3 linked regions of the Struthio camelus genome follow. The protein of the gene in region 2 interacts with the protein of the main gene of each other region in a biochemical or structural test. Links are inferred from orthologs where the notes say so. Each region holds a gene or a part of one and is shown on either strand. Other genes may lie near its edges.

Region 1 (6,801 bases), about 55 Mb from region 2:
TTCACCAGACAGGAAGGTACCCAGGGAGAAGCTCTTCTCTGTGCCCACAAACAGTGACAAACACAGCTTCATGCCTGAATTAGAGTTCTCACACAGAATTAACACCAAATAAATTGATGTAATTGAAATTACTCCAATGAGATATGCTTTGAGTTTCCTAGTTTAAAGGGCATTTGATGGCAAGGAAAAAGTTGTCCTACTCGTACTAAAAAGAAAAAGAAAAAAGAAAAAAAGCTAGGAAGTTTAGAAGCCATCCAAAAGGAATCAAATGAGTGTTGTTTTACATTATGTACTTTTCAAAAAGACTCATACTTTGCCTATGTCATATATTTGGATTACGCTTCCAAATGTCCCCCCAATCTCCTTGCTGGGATTCTTTTTTAAGCGACATTAAAGAGGTATTAAAGAGGTACGTAAGAGATATCTATACCAAAGGTGAATTCTTACACTACGGCATTACAGCACCTGAAACAATTCTGGTCTGCAAGCAGAATTTATTCATCTTACAGTTCCTGCTTCTATTATCTCAAACCATCGGTAGGTCACAGTTGTTGAATCACTCTTTTTCGCTTCCAACTATCTAATCTTCTACTACTTTTTTTTTTGTTTAAATGAGCTCTGCTTTGTTTTTACCTTAGAGAGAACTGAGGAAGTCGTCACACTAGTTGTACATCCTGTTTTGGTTACTTTATTGCTCAAGACATACATAGTCAGCTCTTAGTTTGTCCCACTATCTGGGTTGTGGATTAACGATGTCTTCCTAAAACGCAAAACAAAAGAAAACACAAAACAGAAAAAGATTATGGCCTCATTCTACAACTTAAGCTCACTTTTAAAACTGAATGTACCCAATATAACACACATGTATAACATTATTCATATAGTCTGTACCATTTATATTTTGGCCTAGTAGTTCATTTACCCGTTGTGAATCACAGATATTTTGCCGGGTTTCTAACCACGTGCCTCTTGAAGGCCTCAGAGTTAGTTAAACACAAACAACCACCCAGGCTGACGCAGGCTGTACAATCCAACTCGAGGAACTTGAAACAACCGGCACCACCAGGACAACTGCGCGCTGGTGACTGACACCCCCTAAACTTCAGGATATAGCACTTAAAACCCTTAATTTCCTTATTCCATCTTTTTGGTATGGAATGAAATAAAGGCGAGGGGAGGGACCCTTCTCCCCCAGTGATGCTACAGACCGGAGTTGGCTCTTTTTTGCTTTTCCTTGACCCCAACAAGCTCAACACGGAAAATTACGAGGCTCAGGCCAGCCAGGAGCACTCGTGAGAGCTTCGCGCCCTCCCCACGGTACCGGGACACCCCGCGGGCGACGCGCCGGCCCCGCCCACGCCCCCACGTCGCGGAAGGCCGCCGCCGCCTCTGCGCCTGCGCGCCGCCCGCCTCCCACGCGCAGGCGCAAAAGCGGCGGCGGCGGGCCCCTCTGGGGCGCTCTGGGGGGGGGGGGAATCGCCCGCTTCGACGCGGCCAGGCCGCATGCGCGGCGGCGCTCATCCGGGTCCCGCCGCCGCGCATGGCCACTGGCCGGCGGCGGCCGGGCGCGCGAGGGCAGCCGGGAGGGGTGCATTGTGGGAAGGAGGCGGCTCTTGTCCCGGCGGAGGGTGGCGGTGAATCCTCCCGGCCGCTCACAGCAGTGTAGAGCCGCTTCCCCCTCCCTACCCCCCCCTTCCTTCCTTCCTCCCTCCCTCCCCCCCGTCCTCCTCCTCCACCCCACATACACACCCGCCCCCCCCCCCCGCCCGCTCTCTGCGGCCCGCGGATTTAAAGGGGCAGAGGCTCCAATCCGGGCGACCATGCCGAACTTCTGTGCGGCTCCCAACTGCACCCGCAAGAGCACCCAGTCCGACCTGGCCTTCTTCCGCTTCCCCCGGGACCCGGTCAGGTGAGACCCCAGCCGGGCACAAGGCAGCGCCGCCGCTGCAAGGGCACCCGCGCCTCGCAGGGGCAGCCCGAGGGAGGCGGCCCGCCGGCTCCCGGCCTCGCCGCTCCCCTCAGGGGCCCGCCTAGGCCCTGCGCTCCGCCGGAGGAGACAGCCCCCCGCGCCGCGGCGCCTCCCTCCCCTCACGCGCCGCGCCTCCTCCTCACCTCAGGCGGCGGGGCGGTCCGATGCGGGCCGTGGAAGAGGGGGGGGGGGGGGGGGCCGGAGGCGGCGGCGGCGGCGGCGCCACCGCGGCCGGCCGCAGCTGCCGCCTCCCCTGGCGGAGGCCGCGCGCGCTGTGCCGCCGGCGGGGCGGGGCTGCGCGGGACCCCGCGGCCCGCCGCGGGGAGGCGGCCGAGCGGCTGCGCATGCGCCGGACCGGCCGCTGTCCTCCTCTTCCTCCCCCCTCCCCCAAGCCGGGGGGCGCGCGCGCGCCTGTGCCGGGACGGGGGTGATTGACAGCTGGGGGGCGGGGCCGTGGGGGTGACCCGGGGGGGAGGGGGGGTGACCCGGGGGGGAGTGGGTGCTAGAGGCAGCGCCGTGGGGGAAGGGCGTGGGGCGGTGACGGGGGGGGTCGTGGGAGGCGTGGGGCGGTGACAGGGGGAGGGGGTCGTGGGAGGTGTGGGGGTGGCGGGGGGGGTCGTGGGAGGTGTGGGGCGGTGAGGAGGGGGAGAGGGGGGCATGGGAGGTGTGGGGCGGCTGGGGGGGCATGGGAGGTGTGGGGAGGTGACAGGAGGAGGGAGGGCATGGGAGGTGTGGGGTGGCTCGGGGTGGGGGTACACACGGGGCCGTGGGTGGTGTGGGGCAGCTAGGGGCAGTGCATGGGGCCATGGGAGGTGTGGGGCAGCTCGGGGTGGGGGTACACACGGGGCTGTGGGAGGTGTGGGGCAGCTAGGGGCAGTGCATGGGGCCGTGGGAGGTGTGGGGCGGCTCGGGGCAGTGCATAGGGCCATGGGAGGTGTGGGGCAGCTCGGGGTGGGGGTATACACGGGGCTGTGGGAGGTGTGGGGCAGCTAGGGGCAGTGCATGGGGCCATGGGAGGTGTGGGGCAGCTCGGGGTGGGGGTACCCACGGCCATGGGAGGTGTGGGGCGGCTCGGGGTGGGGGTACACACAGGGGCCGTGGGAGGTGTGGGGCGGCTCGGGGTGGGGGTATACACGGGGCTGTGGGAGGTGTGGGGCGGCTCGGGGCGGGGGTACACACGGAGCCATGGGAGGTGTGGGGCAGCTCGGGGTGGTGCACGGGGCCGTGGGAGGTGTGGGGCGGCTCGGGGTGGTGCACGGGGCCGTGGGAGGTGTGGGGCAGCTCGGGATGGGGGTACCCGTGGAGCTTTGGGAGGTGTGGGGCAGCTCGGGGTGGGGGTACACACAGGGGCTGTGGGAGGTGTGGGGCAGCTCGGGGTGGTGCACGGGGCCGTGGGAGGTGTGGGGCAGCTCGGGGTGGGGGCACACACAGGGGCCATGGGAGGTGTGGGGCGGCTCGGGGTGGTACACGGGGCCGTGGGAGGTGTGGGGCAGCTCGGGGTGGGGTACACATGGAGCCGTGGGAGGTGTGGGGCAGCTCGGGGTGGTGCACGGGGCCGTGGGAGGTGTGGGGCAGCTCGGGGTGGGGGTACCCACAGGGGCCGTGGGAGGTGTGGGGCAGCTCGGGGTGGTGCACGGGGCCGTGGGAGGTGTGGGGCAGCTCGGGGTGGGGGTACACACAGGGGCCGTGGGAGGTGTGGGGCAGCTCGGGGTGGTGCACGGGGCCGTGGGAGGTGTGGGGCAGCTCAGGTGGGGGTACCCACGCGGCCGTGGGAGGTGTGGGGCGGCTCGAGGGGCAGGGGGGGCACGCATGGGGGGGCGGTGCTGGTGGCAGTCCGGGGGAGCTGGCGTAGCCGAGCAGAGCCGTGGGAAATCCTAGGAGCAGTAGGAGCCGGGCGCCCACGTTGCCTGGCGGGTGCCGACGCGCCCTGCGAGTCTAGACGCTGCTCTGGAAATAATTCGACTTCCCTCGCTTCTGCCGGTTTGGGAAGGCGCGTGCTCCCCGGAGCGGCGTCAGCTACCTCTTTCCCGACGATAGATCGTACGCTGCCGGGTTTTATAGTTTAACCCGTGTTAGGTAGAGTTTTGCATTTAAAGAAAACTAATCAAAACGCTCGATTGCCTGCTCCGAGCTTATCGTCCGTGTTTTCCCCTCCTGATGTTGCCTCTCTCAACCCTTGGCGAGCTGCAGGTTCTTGCACAGCCAAAGTCACGGCTGCAGGTTGTGCAGATGTGGAGAGATTTGGGGCTGTCTGAACTTCAGTGTTAATTTCTCGGGAGTTCTTGTCGCAAAACCCGAGTCACACGTGAAGTTGCACAAACATGATTAATACATGCAATGACGATTTATTATATGAAGGAAATAGCCCCTTCAGTTTATGCGTCTTTTTCTATTGAAAGACGTTTTGAACGACCGTTTTCCACGTTAACACTAGAAATACATCTGAAAATGCGCAGTTAACCAAACAACTGCCACTACTTTTCAGGATTTGTATTGTTTTATTCTATTTCAGAGTTATAATACTACCAGTTTCAACTACCGTTCCTTGTGGAAGCTTAAGAGATAAAGACCTAGTGAAAAAACAATGCATGTCAGCTACAATGATTTAAACAATATAGACTGTTTGCAAAAAAAAAAAAAAGTCCATAAAAGTTGATCAGTCACGTGGTTTAAGAAGTATGCGCCAGTTTATATCTCTACAACAGCATCGGTGTGAGTAGGCGTGCTTCCTGATTTCCCGTTTGGCATAATCCCCGTGAAGCAGTTCAGACTAATCAGATTAATGCTCCTCTAACAGGATCGTAGAAAATAGTGCTAAAATTTACCTTGAAGGACCGTTTGGTCGTTTCCACTGTACAAAGGAAGGGTAAGCTCTACGTAAGCTGTTTTTCAGACTGCACAGCACCCCTTTCACTCTGTCAGTGTTCTGCCTAAGTTTTTCTTTTTTTCTTAATATCGTATACCTTTCTCATTTAAACCTATATACAAATGTCCTAAATTGATCACATGCTCTGTTTTAGAAACTCTTAGTATTTAAAGATTGATAGATCGTTGTAACCTTTATGGCTTTGTAGACGATAGGACGTTAGTGATTTATTTTCCTATTTGAAGTACAGCAGTGATCTGCAACTGGTAAATGACAGACAACGTGTTGCTTGTACAACCGTCCAGTACTGCATACTGTCATAGAAACCTGTTGCCGTTGTAGGTCAGACTGGTATGGTAAGCAAAGTACTTTGTGCTGCTATAAACGTCTTATTTGCTCTTGGGATCTTGCAGTGAGAAGGCAGGTGCTTAGTGCTTTCAATTTTTGCACGTTAACTAAAAAATAACCCTTACTTTTTCCCGATTCAGTGCTAAGCACTCTCAGCTAGACGTTCCAAAACTGATCTTTAAAGCATTAGTGAGTCTACTAGAGCTAACCAGTTATTTGAGACTACTTTGATTTACTTTTTCTATCTGAGAATACTGGAAGGGGTGAAATGATGAGGCTTTGAAGTAGAACTGATTGCGGTTAGTGGCTGGTGCATAGTTTTTTCACATCAAACATGAATGTGAATAAATAGCCTCTGTTTCCCCAACAGGCACGTTCATTTTAATAATTTTACGTGGTCTAGGCAGTGATACGCACAGTCAGATCTATCCATGCTTCTGACTCTTCTTCATCATGGCAGTCTGAGTTAAGGTGAAGTTTGAGTATTTGGAAGAAAATACATTTTAAGCAACAGAGATGCTATTCTACTGTAGTTGACCAACACTGAGGTAAAATAAATGATTTCAATTATACCTGAACCTGAATAAAAATGCCTTTTAAGCTTCCATGAGATGTCAGCAGATTTGTGGAAATAATATTAAACTTGTCACTGAAGAAAACCTCCTTAAAACCCAATAAGTGGTAACTATAATGCCAAGCACATCTATATTAAGTAGTCTGCGGAGTCTGACCCCCTTTTCCCTTTGTTCTTCCGTTTCTGGTTCCTTGGAGAACATTTGTTTCGGGGCCGAACTCACAGCAAGACTGAGTTGCCGCATTCTGAGTTAGTTGAAGAGTTTGCACGTTTGAATCCAGTCACGTAACCCCCATCAGCCCCCTCTAATCCTGTAGTTACCTGACAAAACGTCGACACTTTGGCTTTTACCAGTAAATTTTCCTAGATGTCTAGAGCTCCAGTTACAGAACTGCTGCTCCTGCCGGGTGAGGAGCTTGACGCTGCTGCCTGCCCGGGATCCTCCAACGAGGACTTTGCGTGCCAAGGCCCTCAGGGGCTTTGAGATCGTGTACTCGGGTCCTGTCTAGTGCAGGCTGACGGCGTGGACTTCGGCACAGAAGAGAGCCGCCGCAGCCGCTTTTATGTAACCGGAGGAGAAGTTGGGAAGGGAGAGGGGTATTTGGGGGTTAGTTTCATCTTTGTGAGGCTAACTTCCTGAGCTAGACTCGTCTGTAGAGTTCCTCTTGTCTTCTGCCGTCGCTTCTTACGGTCTTCTCTGGTCCCTAGCTGTGACTGCTGTCTAATGTAACTTGTTCTCTGGATGGCGGCACGATCTGAAGTGAAGCAATTCAGGCGGGTTTTGTCCGCTCTCGACAACTGCGCGCCACTTCTGGCGCGTGTGCTAAATGCACCATCGCGGCCACAGTTTGTGCCTGTGTGATGGCCAGGAGTTATCTTAGTGTGAGGAGCTCTGACTTTGCTTCCTGGCAGTCCTCAGCTTCCTTGAGTCAGTGGAGAGTGACCGGTAAGATCTGCTAAGGTTAGGCTCTTGTTCTGGACACCCCTCTGTCCCAAAGCCCTCTCCGTTGACGTAAGGAGGCTGATCGACCTTTATGACAGCCC
Region 2 (7,492 bases):
AGCGTAAAAACCTCAAGAAAACTCTGCAATTTCAACAGTTTCAAGTTTCACATTCGACTACACATTTCTCTCATGTTTCCTACAGAACTCTCCCCTACAAAACACTTTTTAGAAATCTTGTCCCTGAGCTTGGCAAGAAGCCCATGAAAATAAACAAAAGAAATTATAATCGTGTACCAGAAAAAATTGATACGAAGTCATAGACAAAGGAGAAACATACATGCCGTTAATCTCAATTGTGGCCATTTAAAATTTCCTTCCAAGCTTCCTTTTTTTCTTTTCTTTTCTTTTTTTTACCTGAAAGTTTAATAATTGTTTTATCATGGTGGGGGGGAAGGGGGGGGGGTCTTCGCTGCGTGAAGCTTTTTGATTAGAACTACCCTGCGCTTACCTCAAGTTGCAAGATTGCAGCTATTTTTAAATAGGTTTGGGCTTTGCTTGTGTCTGTGTGTGTTTTAAGACCAACACCAAACAAAGTAAGTAGATGAACAATCACAAAGTTTCAGGAGTAGTATGAAAGGGCTCATAAGAAGTCTCAGAGTACAGCAGCTCCCCCCACCCAATTAAGCTGCATGCGATTTCAGTCCACAAAGTTGTTACTCCCTCAGTTCCCAAAGAAAGTTGATAAATATAACAAAGGTCAGCAAACAAACAATCAAAAATACATACCACAAACACATCTCCTCCTTCCCAGGAAACTAGTTTCTTCCTCACATTAGTATCCATTACAGTTTGGGGTGGGGGGAAAAAAAAAAAAAGATTTCCCAAACTCCGGATAGAAGGATATGGAAGAAACACTTTAAATAAGGTTAGCAGTCTGACAATGAGTTGAGCTCTGTACACTGAAAGCTCATTTCTCTGTTGCAATGAGGCTGGACAACCCATCCATGAAAACTGACTCTCCCAGAGGTGACTCACATCAAATGAAAGCTTATTCACCAGGCAGAAACCAAGGTAATCCAGGAGGAGGAATTCAGGACACAACAGCAATGGGTGAACTGCAACTTGCCACACCAACAACTATTCCAGCTCTTTTACTGAACTCATGCACTAGCCAGAAATAAATTAGTTTTCATAAATGTTGACCCTTAAGACACAAAGCTAATTCAAGCTCACTCGTCCCAAAGATTCATGATTCAGATGACACAATGAAGACTTCTACAATCAAGGCAGCAAGACAAACATAAATGTGCCTTTTAAGGCCTTTGAGTTTAAAACCCCCTAATGCTGGAAAAAAAGAATCTAGATACTTGAAACAACAACAAAATCTACATCCCTTAACTCAATTTCCTGGGAAATGAGTTCGTGAAATAAGATAAGGAAGTAAATAACATCAAGAACCATCACCTCTTACCCTATTAATAAATATATTTTGAAAGAGAGTAAACTATCAGAGTTCAGTTAAGAGAATATACCCCAAGCTAGGAAACGTGGCTTTGGTAATTCACAGACTCATTAAATTATTCATTTACAGAGAATATAATCAGACTAGGCCAGCACTTCTGAATAAAGAATCCTCAGCAGGAACATCACTGCCAGAGTTCTATATATGTATTTATATATACATATACACACACACATACTTTGAACTCAGTTAGGTTTTTCCTCCAACAATAGCAGAATACATATCCAAAAAAGCAACTCAACACCACAGCACATAGTCATATACTACAGAGCATCTTTGCTACACTATGTACCTATTGCCACTTGGTGAGCTGAAATTTTCATCTAGTACATCTTCCGACTGAATTTCTAATGTCAAGCCAGGTTAGCTGCAAGTCCATAGACTTATTCTGAGTAGTGACAGTCTCAGTTCTATCTCAATCAACCTCTACCAGTGACAGGACGTTTCTCAGGTGCAACCGTGTTTCTGAATAAATGCACAATTGCATAACCAAGTTATAAATTTAACAGGAGCTTGAGAATGTGTTTGACTACACAGGTGTTGCTGACAGCATACTCTGAAAGCAGATAGGTTGCACGTGGTACTCTGACCAACTTCAAACACCAACAGTGATGCAAAAAAACATAAACAAATGGAAGACAGTGAGAAGCCACAGCAAACTTGCAGGTCAGGCCCTAATAACCGTTGTGGGTTACGGAAACCAAAGGAAAAAAACCTTCTAACTTGAAAATTACATACAAGTGATATAAAAGTGAGGCTTGAGGCCAGTACAGAACAGCTCAATGGTGCTGCAGAGCTGTGCTGCAGGCCACCACAGCATTTCCCCTTAGCTCCCTATTAGCAGGCCAAAGAAAATGAAACACACACCGAACTACCTCAAGCAGCACTGACTAAAGTTTCAGTAAAAGGCAGTAAGCTACCAGCAGCGGCACCAACATTCATTGCACACCTTTCGCATTAGCTCTGATGAGGTGGCAGTTCTGCGTCGCCTTTTTAACTCCCACCCTTTCCAAAAATATTTGCTTTCCGGACGCCCTGCAGGGACTGCCCCGACGCCACCCGGGGACCTCCCGCCGGCCTGGTCCCACCAGCTGCCCTGGGGCAGGCCGCTGCTCCGCTCTGCTTTGCCTCTGCCCCAGCCCCTTGGCCCGGCCCGCCTGCCATGGCGGCTCCCCCCAGGCCGCGGGGGGGGGGGGGGGGAAGGGCAGCAACCCAGGCGCCCCTCGGCCGCCGCGACCGTTAACGGCAGCCCGCAGGAACCAAGGCAGCGCCCCCCGCGGCCTCCGCACAAGGCGGCGCGCCCCACCCGCGACCCCCGGGCGGCAAGGCCGGCCTCCCCCACCCCGGAGGCGCTGCGGCCCCCTTTCTCCGCCCTCACCCTGGTACTGCAGGTCGAAGAGCACCAGCAGAAAAGGCAGCGCAGAGCCCAGACGGCCGGCGGAAGCCGCAGGAGACACCATCTCCACCAACGCCCGCGGCCGACGAGCTCCAACTTGTCCGGGGTGGGTCGTGGGCGCCTCCGATTGGCTGCGCCGCGCCCGCCCGCCCCCTCGCCCTCGGGAAACGTGGAAGCAGCGTGAAGGCGCCCGCCCGCACAACACCGAGCCCCACCGCTGCCACCGCGCCTGCGCGGGCAGTAAACCGGGAAGCCGCCACCGCGCCTGCGCGGAGAGGGGATGGGGGGGGGGGCGGGGGTGGTAGAGTGTGGCCGCTCGGCGCCTGCGCAGGAAGGCGGAGGACGCCGCGGGTGGCGGGATTGCCCTCACCGGGAATGGCGGCGGAGGGAGGGGTGAGGGGTTCCGCGTTTTTTGGTCAGCTCGCTGCCCAGTGTTTGATGGCGTACAGGCCTGTTTTCTCCTCACACTGAGCTAAATAATCAGCATACCCGTTGTCCTCCAGGCGTGCCGAAAAAGCGCTAGGGGTTGTACCCGGCCGCGGGCGAAGGGGTCGTCCGGCTTTGGCAGAGCCCGGCGTTTTTGTGGTTAGAAGTTCCCGCTGGGGCTGTAAACCTACACAAGCAAAGGTAGCCGACCAGCCAGCAAACGTGTTTCGGGAAATGTCTTTTCCTTTCTTCTTCATAGTGCAAATATGACGTGCTCTTGGTTATCCCGGGAAAAGTAATCTTGTATGTGCCCAGTTTGTTGTTTCAAATTATCTGCTTTATATTATTGGATAAACCATTCATATGAGGGGCCTGTTATATAATATTACACCCCATCAATGTTAAAAAAAGAAAAAAATCTTGTTCTCATGAGAATTCCACCCAGCAAATAACAAACTTGGCGCTAGAAATCTTATGTGGTGACCACAGACGTTTCTTTTTTTACATTCTGAAGATATGGTCACGTTGCCCTTCTCACCCAAGCGGAGAAAATGTGCAAGGTTTGCAGGACAAGCTTTTCCTGAAAGATCAGACTAAACAAAGAAAACTGCACGTTATCCCTCTCGAACGTTTCGTTTGGAAGATGGTGCTTCAAAAGGATCACCCTGAAATTTCACCGGCAGGAGATATTCAGAGATAAGAACTTGAATAATGGAAGTGGTAGATGTGCAATGAATAATTGATGCCACTCTAAAGATGTCAGCGTGAGGCAGAACATGACAACTCTGTAGCATTATGGAGAGGACAAAATACGAAAGCCAAAAACTGAGCATGAGCAGAATGCGAGCACTGTTACAATAAATGAATTCCTATGGCTGTACCTCAGAAAAAGAGACGTATTACACCAAAGCCAGACAAAAGTGAATACAGTATAGCAATTCACACCTGCAACTCCCTCTCCCCCCAAATGACTGGAAACAATAGTAAGGATAGCAGTCTACTTAATGGAGACCTTTAATAACAAGATTAGGAGAGAACAATCTGGAATCTGAAGAAAACTCAAAGCAGTAGCTGATACTGGAGTACCAATCTGAACAGATTTCCAAGCATAAAAGTCCAAGCATCATATCCCTTAAAAAAAAGTAACAGTATTATGATAAAAGTGAGCCAATATTCTCAGTAGATGCTTAATAAGGAGTCAGTATTTATACTAATAAGGGAGGTCAGTATTTCAGTAGGCTGTAGTAGTATATAAAAACAGTGTGTAATGCCAACACTACAAAAGGACGTGCTCAAAGAGAAATCATTTTTCACTGTCCGTCTGTGTTAGAGAAGTCATCATACAGATGCCTGACCAGTAATTCCTGAAAGAGACCATGAACCATGACAGAACATTCTTGATGATCATAACGCCTAAAAGTGTAATTTAGAGATTAACTATAAGCCTGGGAGAAGAAAGTACGTTAACACATCTTCCCTTGTGCAATTTCAGAAGCAAACGAGATGCAGAAGACGAGAAAGACTTAAAAGAACAAATGATATGACGTGCCAACGTCATTTTTTAGAAGTAATCTGAGAAATAGCAAGCCGACACAGCTGTAATACAGTAAGTCTTTCAAAAGGATCAATAAAAATTTGGCAGACTGGGACCAGAAACAAGTTTCTTCAGCAGCCTTGAGTTTTGGAGTGGAAGCTGGGTTGATTGCAAAGACTACGCTAATGTTCAAAGTGGTCAAAGGAGGGAAAGCCAAGGAATTTTCTCCAACACGGTTACTGCTGGTAATACAGTAACAGCAGAGGGCATCAGTTAGCAAGGAATGACTTTTTAAGACACTCGTTGCTTCTAACAGGGATGGTGACCTGAATATGGTGACAGATGTGGATTTAGTTAAATCTGTAGGTTCTGTTTATTAACTGGGAAACCTACTCAAATGTAACTGTGGTGTGGTGAGAAATCCAGATTAGGTGTGAAAACACACAGGTACTGGGAAGGACCCCGCTAATTACCTGTGAGCTAGCATTCTTGGCAACACATCTTAGTTACTAATCTCTGTTCCAAAAAAAACCCCATCCATATCAATCAGTTTCCTGACACAGGAGAATAAGCAATATATCGGACTGTTATGTTACTTCCACAGTCCTGTATGAAAATACGGGAGGCGGTGAGACAGGACGATAACACAGAGTTACTATCCTCGGGGCTTCTTCTTGTGAGGGATCTCTCAGGCCTTACACCTTGTTTTTATCCATTCCCCTGTATGTGCATTGCTATCAGAAACGCAGCTGTGTTATTAAATTGGAGTGATGACCGAGCTAAATGGGATAGTAATGTACATCTCTGCTAGCAGGCATAGCATAGGGTTATTGTTTACATGGCCACATCTTTTGGAAGTTCCAAGATTTCCCATTTTGGGTGGCATTTGTAAGAGATGACTTTAGGGAAATTCCTTGTCCTGGGCTCTTTTTGCAATACATGGAAACAGAAAGGCTCCTACAGAATGCAGTTCAGCCCAAGAACTTAAGTACTGTAAATGTGCTCTTGGAGAAGCTTATGGACTTTAAAGAGTGTGAGGAATTAGTCTTCTTTAGGGTAAGGTTACCCTCTGTTAATGCTTTCCCCTTCATACTGTCCCAACAAAATTATACAAGTATATCTTAGTCCTAACTGTGATGGGAGAACCACTTTTCCAGTGTGGATTTAACCATCTGCGCTATGACCTTGAGTTTTGACACTACAAAAAGAGACTAACTGCTGTCTGTTGTTTATATCGCTATAAATAGGCTCTACCTAGGTCTTTTGCTCTCATTTCGGTTAAGCTTGCTATAATACAGGTCCTTCAGTCACTAAACTATATTACTATAGCTGATTATCAACAGGGCTATGTGTTGTGAGATATGTAGGACAGAAGTTGGAAGATGGGAATTAGACACCAATGTTTCATTTTCACAATTAAATTTATTTTAAATTTATTTTAATCAGTGAGATGTATACAATATCTGCAACTTTTCTTACCAGCCATGGCAGCAACAGCAAACTCCAGAAAATTCCAGAAACAACTCAAATTCAAACCTAATTCAAATTTGAAACAATTCAAGATGAAGTGAAACAGTATTTTTCAAGCATTTTGATTTAAAAGCCACGTCTGTTGATTTTGGGAGGGTGAAGGGGCTTGACAGAAAGCAAAATATTACATTTATTACAAAATCTCACCTCTTTTAAAATACGTATTTTCATTTTTGAAGATGTAGAGCATTTTAAAATGATACTCTGAAATCAGAAGTCAAAACTTTGCTTCAAACAGTAAAATATTTTGGTATTTCTGAAGTAAAGCATTCTATTTTGAAAATATATGAAATAGTTTAACATTCATGAACTCTTATTTTCGACTGAAACCCATTTATGAAATTCAGCCTATTTTCATAACTAGTTTTGAAACTGTTTGAAACTCTGCAACTGTTTTTTGGTTTGCCTAGTGTATTAAAAATAACTTTCCCAGCTGAAGTCCCAAAGCTGAAGTTTCAAATCTACATGATGACTCCAAGCTACTTAAGTGTTTCTCTTAATCGAACACGTCTCTTCAATTTTAAAAAAGGTGAAAAATATCAGTGACAAAGCACTACGTTATCAGTTAAGGCGTCCATTCCTACCTTATGTCCTGCCAAAACACCAAGGTCTGCAAAGTTCACGCTTCTGGGGATTTGGACTGCACGGTTAAAGTGTGTACGTGTGCAGCCTTACCTCTGCCTGCTCCAACGCACACCTCAGCGCTGCCAGCCTATGCCTGCTATCTTTGTATGCAGTGGCAGCTGCCTGCATCCCATGTAGAGTTATTCAACTCGTTCCCCGAGCGAATTTTTATATAAGCCATAGGCATGTGATGCCTTCTAACACTGTCCTGTATTTACCCATCTCTGAATTAACAGACTTCATTTATCCTCCGACTGCTAACAATCCAAAAGATGACAAAATTCGTGCGTTGCGCTGCTGACACAGCAACGATGGAAGGGTGAAAGGAGGCACCCGGGCTCTCTCAAAAGCACATACCCACAGGTCCAGCAGAGGAGATCGTCCACATACATTGCCCCTCCTAATAATCACACGTTTGCTCCAGCTAATCCTTTTTACCATTCAATATAGCAATCTATAGGTAAGTGTAACATAATGAATATAAATATAAATAAGAGCTTGAATGCTTACTGCAGAGTAGATAGTATGTCTAGTATTTCAGAGTTTTGCCGAGTCCAGGATTTTGAAAAGTTCTAAC
Region 3 (7,101 bases), on a different chromosome or scaffold from region 2:
CACGTCCCAAAGGGAGTATCACCAAACACAGAGGAAACCCACACCTGCTCCAGTCTCAGGTCTCCCCCGCAGTCTTTTAACTGAGCTCCACTCGCTTGCATGCTTAGGGAGCAGGATGAGGAGGGGGAAGGCAGAGTGATGGCTTCACGGCCATCTCTGCAAAGGCTGCACTCTCTGCAAAGACACTCACTAATGGGAGAAGGGGAAGGAAGCCAGTCCCTGTCCCAGGCAAGCTTTCACCTCGGAAGTGCAGAAACCAGGGATAATCTAGCGCCGTTTTCCTTTGTCACTGAAAACATCCTTTCTAGTTTCCTACACTGGAACTGAGATAAGAGAATGAATTGGACAGCAATTAAGAAAACATGTTGGCACTTTAATCTCCTTGTACCTAATGCCCAATGGGTTGTTTCAGTCTTGCCTGAAATTTTCTATTCCTCTTCCTCCACATAGGGACACTCTCTTGTTCCAACAGCTGATTACTGGAAAAGAAAATCCTGGAAGATAGCTTCAAGTCCATTGATTAGTTTTGGACCAGCCTTTCTGCACTACATCTTTTGCATTCACTTTGAATTTACTGATTGGTGAATGCGTACCGAGTTCAAGAAACTAAAGGAAGTCAAGCATTCCACAAATGGTTATTAGGTAAACCTCCTTGAGCATCTCTGCCTCCAAATCACAATTCTGACTTACCAAAAAAAAAAACCCCTCAAAAAACCAAAAAACCCACAAACAAAAGCTCAACCTCCTATCCCCCCACTCCCAAACACAGACTCACCAGAGGCAGACATGATGCCCCAGGGATACGGATTACAGCTATATGTCCTATGGTCAGGGAACCAGCTCAGTCTATCAGTTTACTGACTCAGTAAACCCTTCAGAGTTCACAGGCTCACAGGTCAAGAAGCCAAGTCAAAGAATGCTAATATATTAATTTACATTTTTTAAAAACCTTTTTTTTCCTCCTATCATCTCCCTACCCCAAGTCAAATACATCAAGGAATTCCAGTGGAAACTGACTGCCCTGTACCAAGCTGAGCGTCTGCACTATCGAGCAGGGCTATTATAACTAGCATTTCCTCTCCAGCTGACAAGGTATCCAGCAACAGCTCGTATTCTACACATATTTTCCTTTTCCTTCCTCTCAAAGGCAGTACCAACTGGGCCCATGAAATAGGTCCAGTTCAGAGCTGAGCTGTGTTGTCAGTTCCCTTTCATGAAGCAGTTTAAACTCTGCTCTTACCAGACATTAGCTTCTGCCTTCACGTGATTTTATAGCCTTTCTCCTCCGCTCTTACTTTCTTATATTTTCACTACGTGTCTTATGGACGGGAATTTCAAAAGGTTCGCCAAAAAAACCAAGCTGCTTACTGCAGCTACAAAATATAGCTAATTGTATCTGTTTCAATTCCTCTGTTAAGTTGTGCATGTGTATATATACTTGCATATATAGAGACACACATAGGTATATACACAGGCAAACACAGGAACTGTAATCACCATTCCCTTTTACATGCAAATGCAGCTTGGCATTCAAAATGAGAGAGAACCAAGTCCCAAATACGCGTCATTTGTACTAAAGTAAATCCAGCATAACACACACAAATCAGGACATTGCCGGGCAGATGAACCCAGTCAGACTGTCTGCTTTTATCTGATACCATTTCAGAAACGTTAACCATTTGCTCCTGTTCTGCTGCTCACTCATGTAAGAAGAGCTCCTTCACTGAAGTTCCTTCTCTGGTCTAAATTTACGGTTACTTTTAAACAAACCTTTAACAGCGTAACAAAAACACAGCACCCCTTTGCTTGCGTTCAAGACTGCAAATTAGTGAAAGAGACTCTCAGCTGCTGGGAACCAGCCCAGCAGCTCTTGCAGAGCCCTGCCAGCGCTGGGGCCGTGCGCACTCGCAGCAGCTGCTGCCACCACCCCGGGCAGCCACACCGCTTCCGACAGCTCCCTCAGGCAGCATGTTAGCTGCGCTGGGAACATCGTTTCCTCCTGGGCAAACTGAGTAAGGCGCTGGCAGTTAAAACATATGCCACAAAAAAAAAAAAAAAAAAGCTGTTTTCCCACCAGCGTTTTAGTGTGATTTTAGCATCTGCAAACACTTGATTAAAAGTAATGAGCTCTTCCCACAAGAAGACAGTTGGTAGCCAACACTTTTGAAGCATCAGGTGTCTTCTACCTCGTATTTCTCCATATAATTTTGAGGATGTGAACAATTTGAAATGCACTTTTTGAAGCAAGGACAGAAGAAAAATAAACATCTTTCATTTCACTGTCAACTGGCACACACACGAGCCCTGCGCAGAAGCGGAGGGATACAGTGGGTCCTTCCTAACTGCGACGGGCACTGCAACCCCGAAGGGTGACGTGGTGGGTCTGGAGCGCTCTTCAGCCTTAACGCACCCCCTTGACAGCACTGGCCACAAACCCTTCCTACCTTTGGCTACTTTTCCTACAAAGAGCTTCCGGATTTTCTCTTTCAAGTGAATCTCGGCAGATGCCAAGAACAGACCCACGGATTTACGAAACACCAGCCGCTGTAATGCCCACAGCGCTATGTGGGTTGCAAACACTCCCCTTCTCATGCGGTGGCACCAGCGCGAGGGCAGGTACACCGCAGCGCGTGGTACTCACCCCATCCTTCGCCTCTATGCCGGTGGCAGCAGCAACCTCAGCCCTTCCTCCAGCGATCTCCTGTAGCAGAGCAGCACCCAGGTGACCAGTGTCCTTCACCTGGAGATGAACAACAGGCCAACACACAGCCTAATTCTTCTCAAGAGACAGCTAGGACGTTCCCACCAGGCCCACAGCTGCAGGCCCCACGTGAGCCATCCCAGCTGGTGCCACTTCTCACAGCGGCGCTTGCTGGTGCAACGGCGGGGTAGCTCTCCTGCTGCACGGGGCCTCTGCGAGTTAAAACACCGAGAACTGCAGCTAGGGTGCAGTTTCCCGAGGCTTTGTGTCCCCTCACAGCTCTTCAAGTGCTCATGTAAAGAGTAAAAGAGGCTGAAAACCTGAAACCTATTTTATTGCTTGCTCCTGTGTACGTTCCCCAACCAATTAACGTTTGGCTGAAAAATCTTACGACTGCCTTCCCCCTTTTGCAATTCCAGCCTGGGAAGGCGACGGTTCCTACGCGCTTGATGATCTGTTCAAGCAGCGCAGTGGCACCCGTTACGGAGAATTGTGCCTCACAGCCTGACATGTACCCCTTCAAACCAGCCCACGTGGCTGGAAGAAGGACTCTCACCCCCATTTTCCAGACGGAGAAACGAGTCACAGTGAGGGAATAAGTAGTATAATCTAAATGCTTGGTGTGACTGGAGAAAAACTCTGGTGTGCAATGGGTTAGACTAAGCGTTCATAAAGGTCCCCCCTAGAGAGCAAACTAATGCCCTTTAAAGAAATTCTGTTTGCTGGACAACTAATTAAAAGTATTTCTCGAATGACCATACAGGCCCAGTTGTTTGGGTTTTTTCCTTAACTATTGCTCTGAACTTCTACCAGGGCAGCTGGAAACACCTGCCTTTTCATTGCATGAATTAGACCTTTGGTCACTCAGGAATGGCCATAAAAGGGGCCAAAGGTGTGCTACCGTAACAAGCAGAATAAAGTCTCAGAACTTAAAAAAGCACATGTCAAGTGGGTACATTTAAAAAATGTGATCCTGGCACAAAGCCTGGGTCTCCCTGACGTCCGGGGGCAGCTCTGCCATGTTCTTCAGCGCCACCAACACTTCACAGGTAGGTTGCAGAGGGACAAATCAAGTGAAACTACTCTTTAGTAAGACAAATACTTCCAAAACTAAGAGGACATCACGCGATCGTGGATGCACACCCTCGAAGCTGGTCTTTTGTTCCAGTGTCCGCTGATACATCCTGTCTAGGGTTTCACCAGAACGCTCTGCTGCTTGCAAGTGCCAATACCCATGTGTTCTGCTGAGTCCAAAGCTGGCGGTAGCGAAACCAAAGTTCAATATGTAACAGCGCTTTTATATGAATTCCTTGCTGTCCTTCAACAACGTTGCTATAAAAGCACTGTTTTTTTTTTTGTTTTGAACATCTTAGCTTTCTTACTGCTTTAAAACTTCACATATGACTTCATACTGCACTATATAAGCTGGTCTAGTATGCTGAAAATCATCCATCCTTAATCAGAGCCACAGTCAGCAGCTTTACAAATGACTTTCATTCCTTCATAAACGATCCTCTTCTAATATTGGAAAAACACAAGTAACTCGTTGAATTCACTCTGCTGATTTGCCACTTTATTCTGAACAGGATATGAATACTTCTACCACCTGGGCACTGAAAATTCATCAGCCATGTTGAATATTTTTATCCAAGAATGAGAAACCTGAACTTAGTTTATACATGCCTGGTAGATTAAAAAGTGCATTCATATTCATGCCTGATGTCTTTAGTACATATTTATATTACAACAGTTCCCAGTTAGTATTGTGCATCTGTTTATTTGGCTCATATAGGTAAGCAATCCAAAACAGATTATAATCTCAATAAACACGCCAAATGAAGAGTGGATAAATGGGTGTTTGCATGCGTAACTTGGACAAGTAACTTACCCAAAGCCACATCATGGATCAATAGCACAACCAGGCACAGAGCCCAGAATATACATATTCAAGTGCATACTGGACATGGTCCCTACATATATTTCTAAAATGACTGTTTATTTTAATGAGATGCAGTAAAATATTTCCTCAAAAAAAAAAAAAAGTTTCACGTTCTTAGTTCTAGTGCTTCATTTACCAGTGTCACACATGCATGAGTTACACAAACATAGATGGGGCCAGGAAAGCTTACTTCCATTTGTACTGTCAAGACAGCTTGATTTGTTTCTTCTCTAATGAACTTGGGAGAGCCTGTAAGAAGGAAAAGTACTAGCAAATATGAACATAACTTTATGAACAAAAGAAAAATTAGGAGTTGCAAGAAATAACGTTGGTCCTTCAGTCAGAGGTACTCCTTCTGAGTTCGCATCGGATGAATGCTGCAGTAGAATTTTAACTGTCGCATTACCACAGGATTTTCTGTTTCGAAATAGGTGTAAGGCATTCATGACTATTGCACCCACTGGCATAAAACACTACAGGACCACCACACTCCAGCATATCCAGAAAACCTATGGACGTTGCTGGAATCTACAGTACCTACCTACAGCTATAGGTACTTTACATGGGAGACGTTCAGTTAGCAATGACTGGCCGAATAACCTGAAGAAAGTCATCTACATCCAGAAAAATAGATATGCTTAGGTTGACATGGATATACTTTATCTCTGGTAACCACTTCTTCCATCATTTTTTTTAAATTTATTCTAGCTTTTAATACTATAATAACAGTTTGGGAAAGGGGGCAGGAATTTTAGTTTTATTTTGATTTAACTGGATATAGGAATTGTCACTTTCCTTCCTGAATTGTCAGCTACTTGCTGCTGTTGGACAGCTTCGTAGTTCATTCCAGCAGTTGGCGTATTGAGATTGCTACATAAAAATAAGTAAATCACTCTGAGACTCCGCAAAAGGAAAGACAGTCATTTAAACAAAGTAGGTATGAGACTGTATCATTTTAACTTTTTCCATGATGCACCAATTACTATTAAAAATACAATTTAGTTTGTGAGTTCCTAGAGGAGTATCTACTGTTGCATGGAGGCAATTCCAAAGGATTAGGATCCGCTAACATAGCCCTCATCTTCACCACAAGAAGAAAAAGTAGTATCAGTCATTTAGGAAGGCATCAAGCAGCATGCAGAACTAGCAGTTTTAACTGTAATGAAGCACAAAAATCCCAGTAGTAGATCGAGGCCCCTTAAACGCACCTTTTGCAAACACATACAGAGAGAAGCACTTCCCCAGGGAATGTACAATATAAGTACAGGAGCAGAGATCAAACAAGAGTTGCGCGAGCGGAAGAGCTGAAGGAGACTGTGGGCAACACGGACAAGACATCACAGCTTCATTCAGCTTGAGCCCTAGCTCTTCCATACCGCTTACAGACCCTCGGGGGGTTAATGCAGTCAACTTTCAGCTCCTCCAAAGAGACAAAACTACGGAAGTGAATGTCTGCTTGTGGATATTTTAAACAAAAAGGAAAACATATGGCCCTCTGGAGCTATGCTTGCTGCTGCTGCAGCTGGTATGTCACAGAGAACAGAGGGCCTAGGGCTGGAACTAAATGTAAAAGCTTTACTCCAGGAGCAACTAGAGAACAAACTGGGGAAAATGTTTCAATTTTAAAAGTAATCAGATTAACAAACCAGGAAAAACAAAGAGTTGAGACCACTCATGTACAGTTACCATAAAGAAATAAAAATAGGCACAAAATATTTTACCTGTAGTAAACAACAGCTTCTTACCTGTGTGAGGGATATTTTTGCAAACTATGAAAGAAAACCCGGAACAAATGACTAAAATCGGCATTTTATTTCCCAGATGTTATTTTGAGATTCTACACATAGAACAGTAACAAAAATTAAAACAGCAGAAGGGCTTTAGTTCAGAAAACTGCAAAGGCAGAAGATCAGTAATTTCATTTCATAAAACTAGAATTTCCATTAAAAGCCTACGTGGATTAAAACCACAGGTGCAACAAACCAAATAAGCTGCTGCTGATAGCCGTAATGTGCACCTTTAAGTTCACGTCTTGAGACATGATGGTAAATGTTTCACAGTAACAACTCATTCGGTAGGCTGGGCCCCAATTCAGAGCCAGTGTGTGCAGATGCAATCCCACTGACTGCGGAAATGGAGGAGGAGGAGGAGGAGGAGTGCCCGTGGCCTGCAGGGGCCTGTACTCCCCAGAGATAGCAAGGCCAGAAGAGATCATAAGAAGTCATCTAGTTCACCTCTGCCAGAGGATGAGCTGTGCCTTAAACATCGCCAATGTTTAAAGTCATCTTTGTTTAACTTTTTCTTAAAAACTTGCGTAAATGATTTTATAATGTTCTCCGGAAATGTATTGCAGGGCTTTGCAAAGTTACCATCAGGATTTTTTTCCTCTAATGTCTAAGCTAAAGGTAGCCAACTACTTGTCTTATGAACAGCGAATTTGGAGAACAGGACTTGAGGGGTT

What was found.
Region 1: the proteins of DNAJC3 (region 2) and THAP12 form a complex in vitro, tested with the Homo sapiens proteins (2 studies listed by BioGRID). The link is inferred for Struthio camelus from reciprocal best matches to the Homo sapiens genes DNAJC3 and THAP12.
Region 3: the proteins of DNAJC3 (region 2) and EIF2AK2 form a complex in vitro, tested with the Homo sapiens proteins (2 studies listed by BioGRID). The link is inferred for Struthio camelus from reciprocal best matches to the Homo sapiens genes DNAJC3 and EIF2AK2.

What each region holds. Positions count from the first base shown.
Region 1 is NC_090942.1:221,396,002-221,402,802, forward strand, and holds the start of THAP12 (52 kDa repressor of the inhibitor of the protein kinase), read left to right. Parts: upstream 1-3,801; 5' UTR 3,802-4,045; intron 4,046-4,481; 5' UTR 4,482-4,647; coding exon 4,648-4,679; intron 4,680-4,766; coding exon 4,767-4,835; intron 4,836-4,865; exon of another isoform or gene 4,866-6,801. UniProt on the Homo sapiens protein: Upstream regulator of interferon-induced serine/threonine protein kinase R (PKR). May block the PKR-inhibitory function of DNAJC3, resulting in restoration of kinase activity and suppression of cell growth.
Region 2 is NC_090942.1:166,180,749-166,188,240, forward strand, and holds the start of DNAJC3 (dnaJ homolog subfamily C member 3), read right to left. Parts: upstream 3,063-7,492; 5' UTR 2,866-3,062; coding exon 2,784-2,865; intron 1-2,783. UniProt on the Homo sapiens protein: Involved in the unfolded protein response (UPR) during endoplasmic reticulum (ER) stress.
Region 3 is NC_090944.1:102,478,184-102,485,284, forward strand, and holds the start of EIF2AK2 (interferon-induced, double-stranded RNA-activated protein kinase), read right to left. Parts: upstream 3,001-7,101; 5' UTR 2,642-3,000; intron 1-2,641.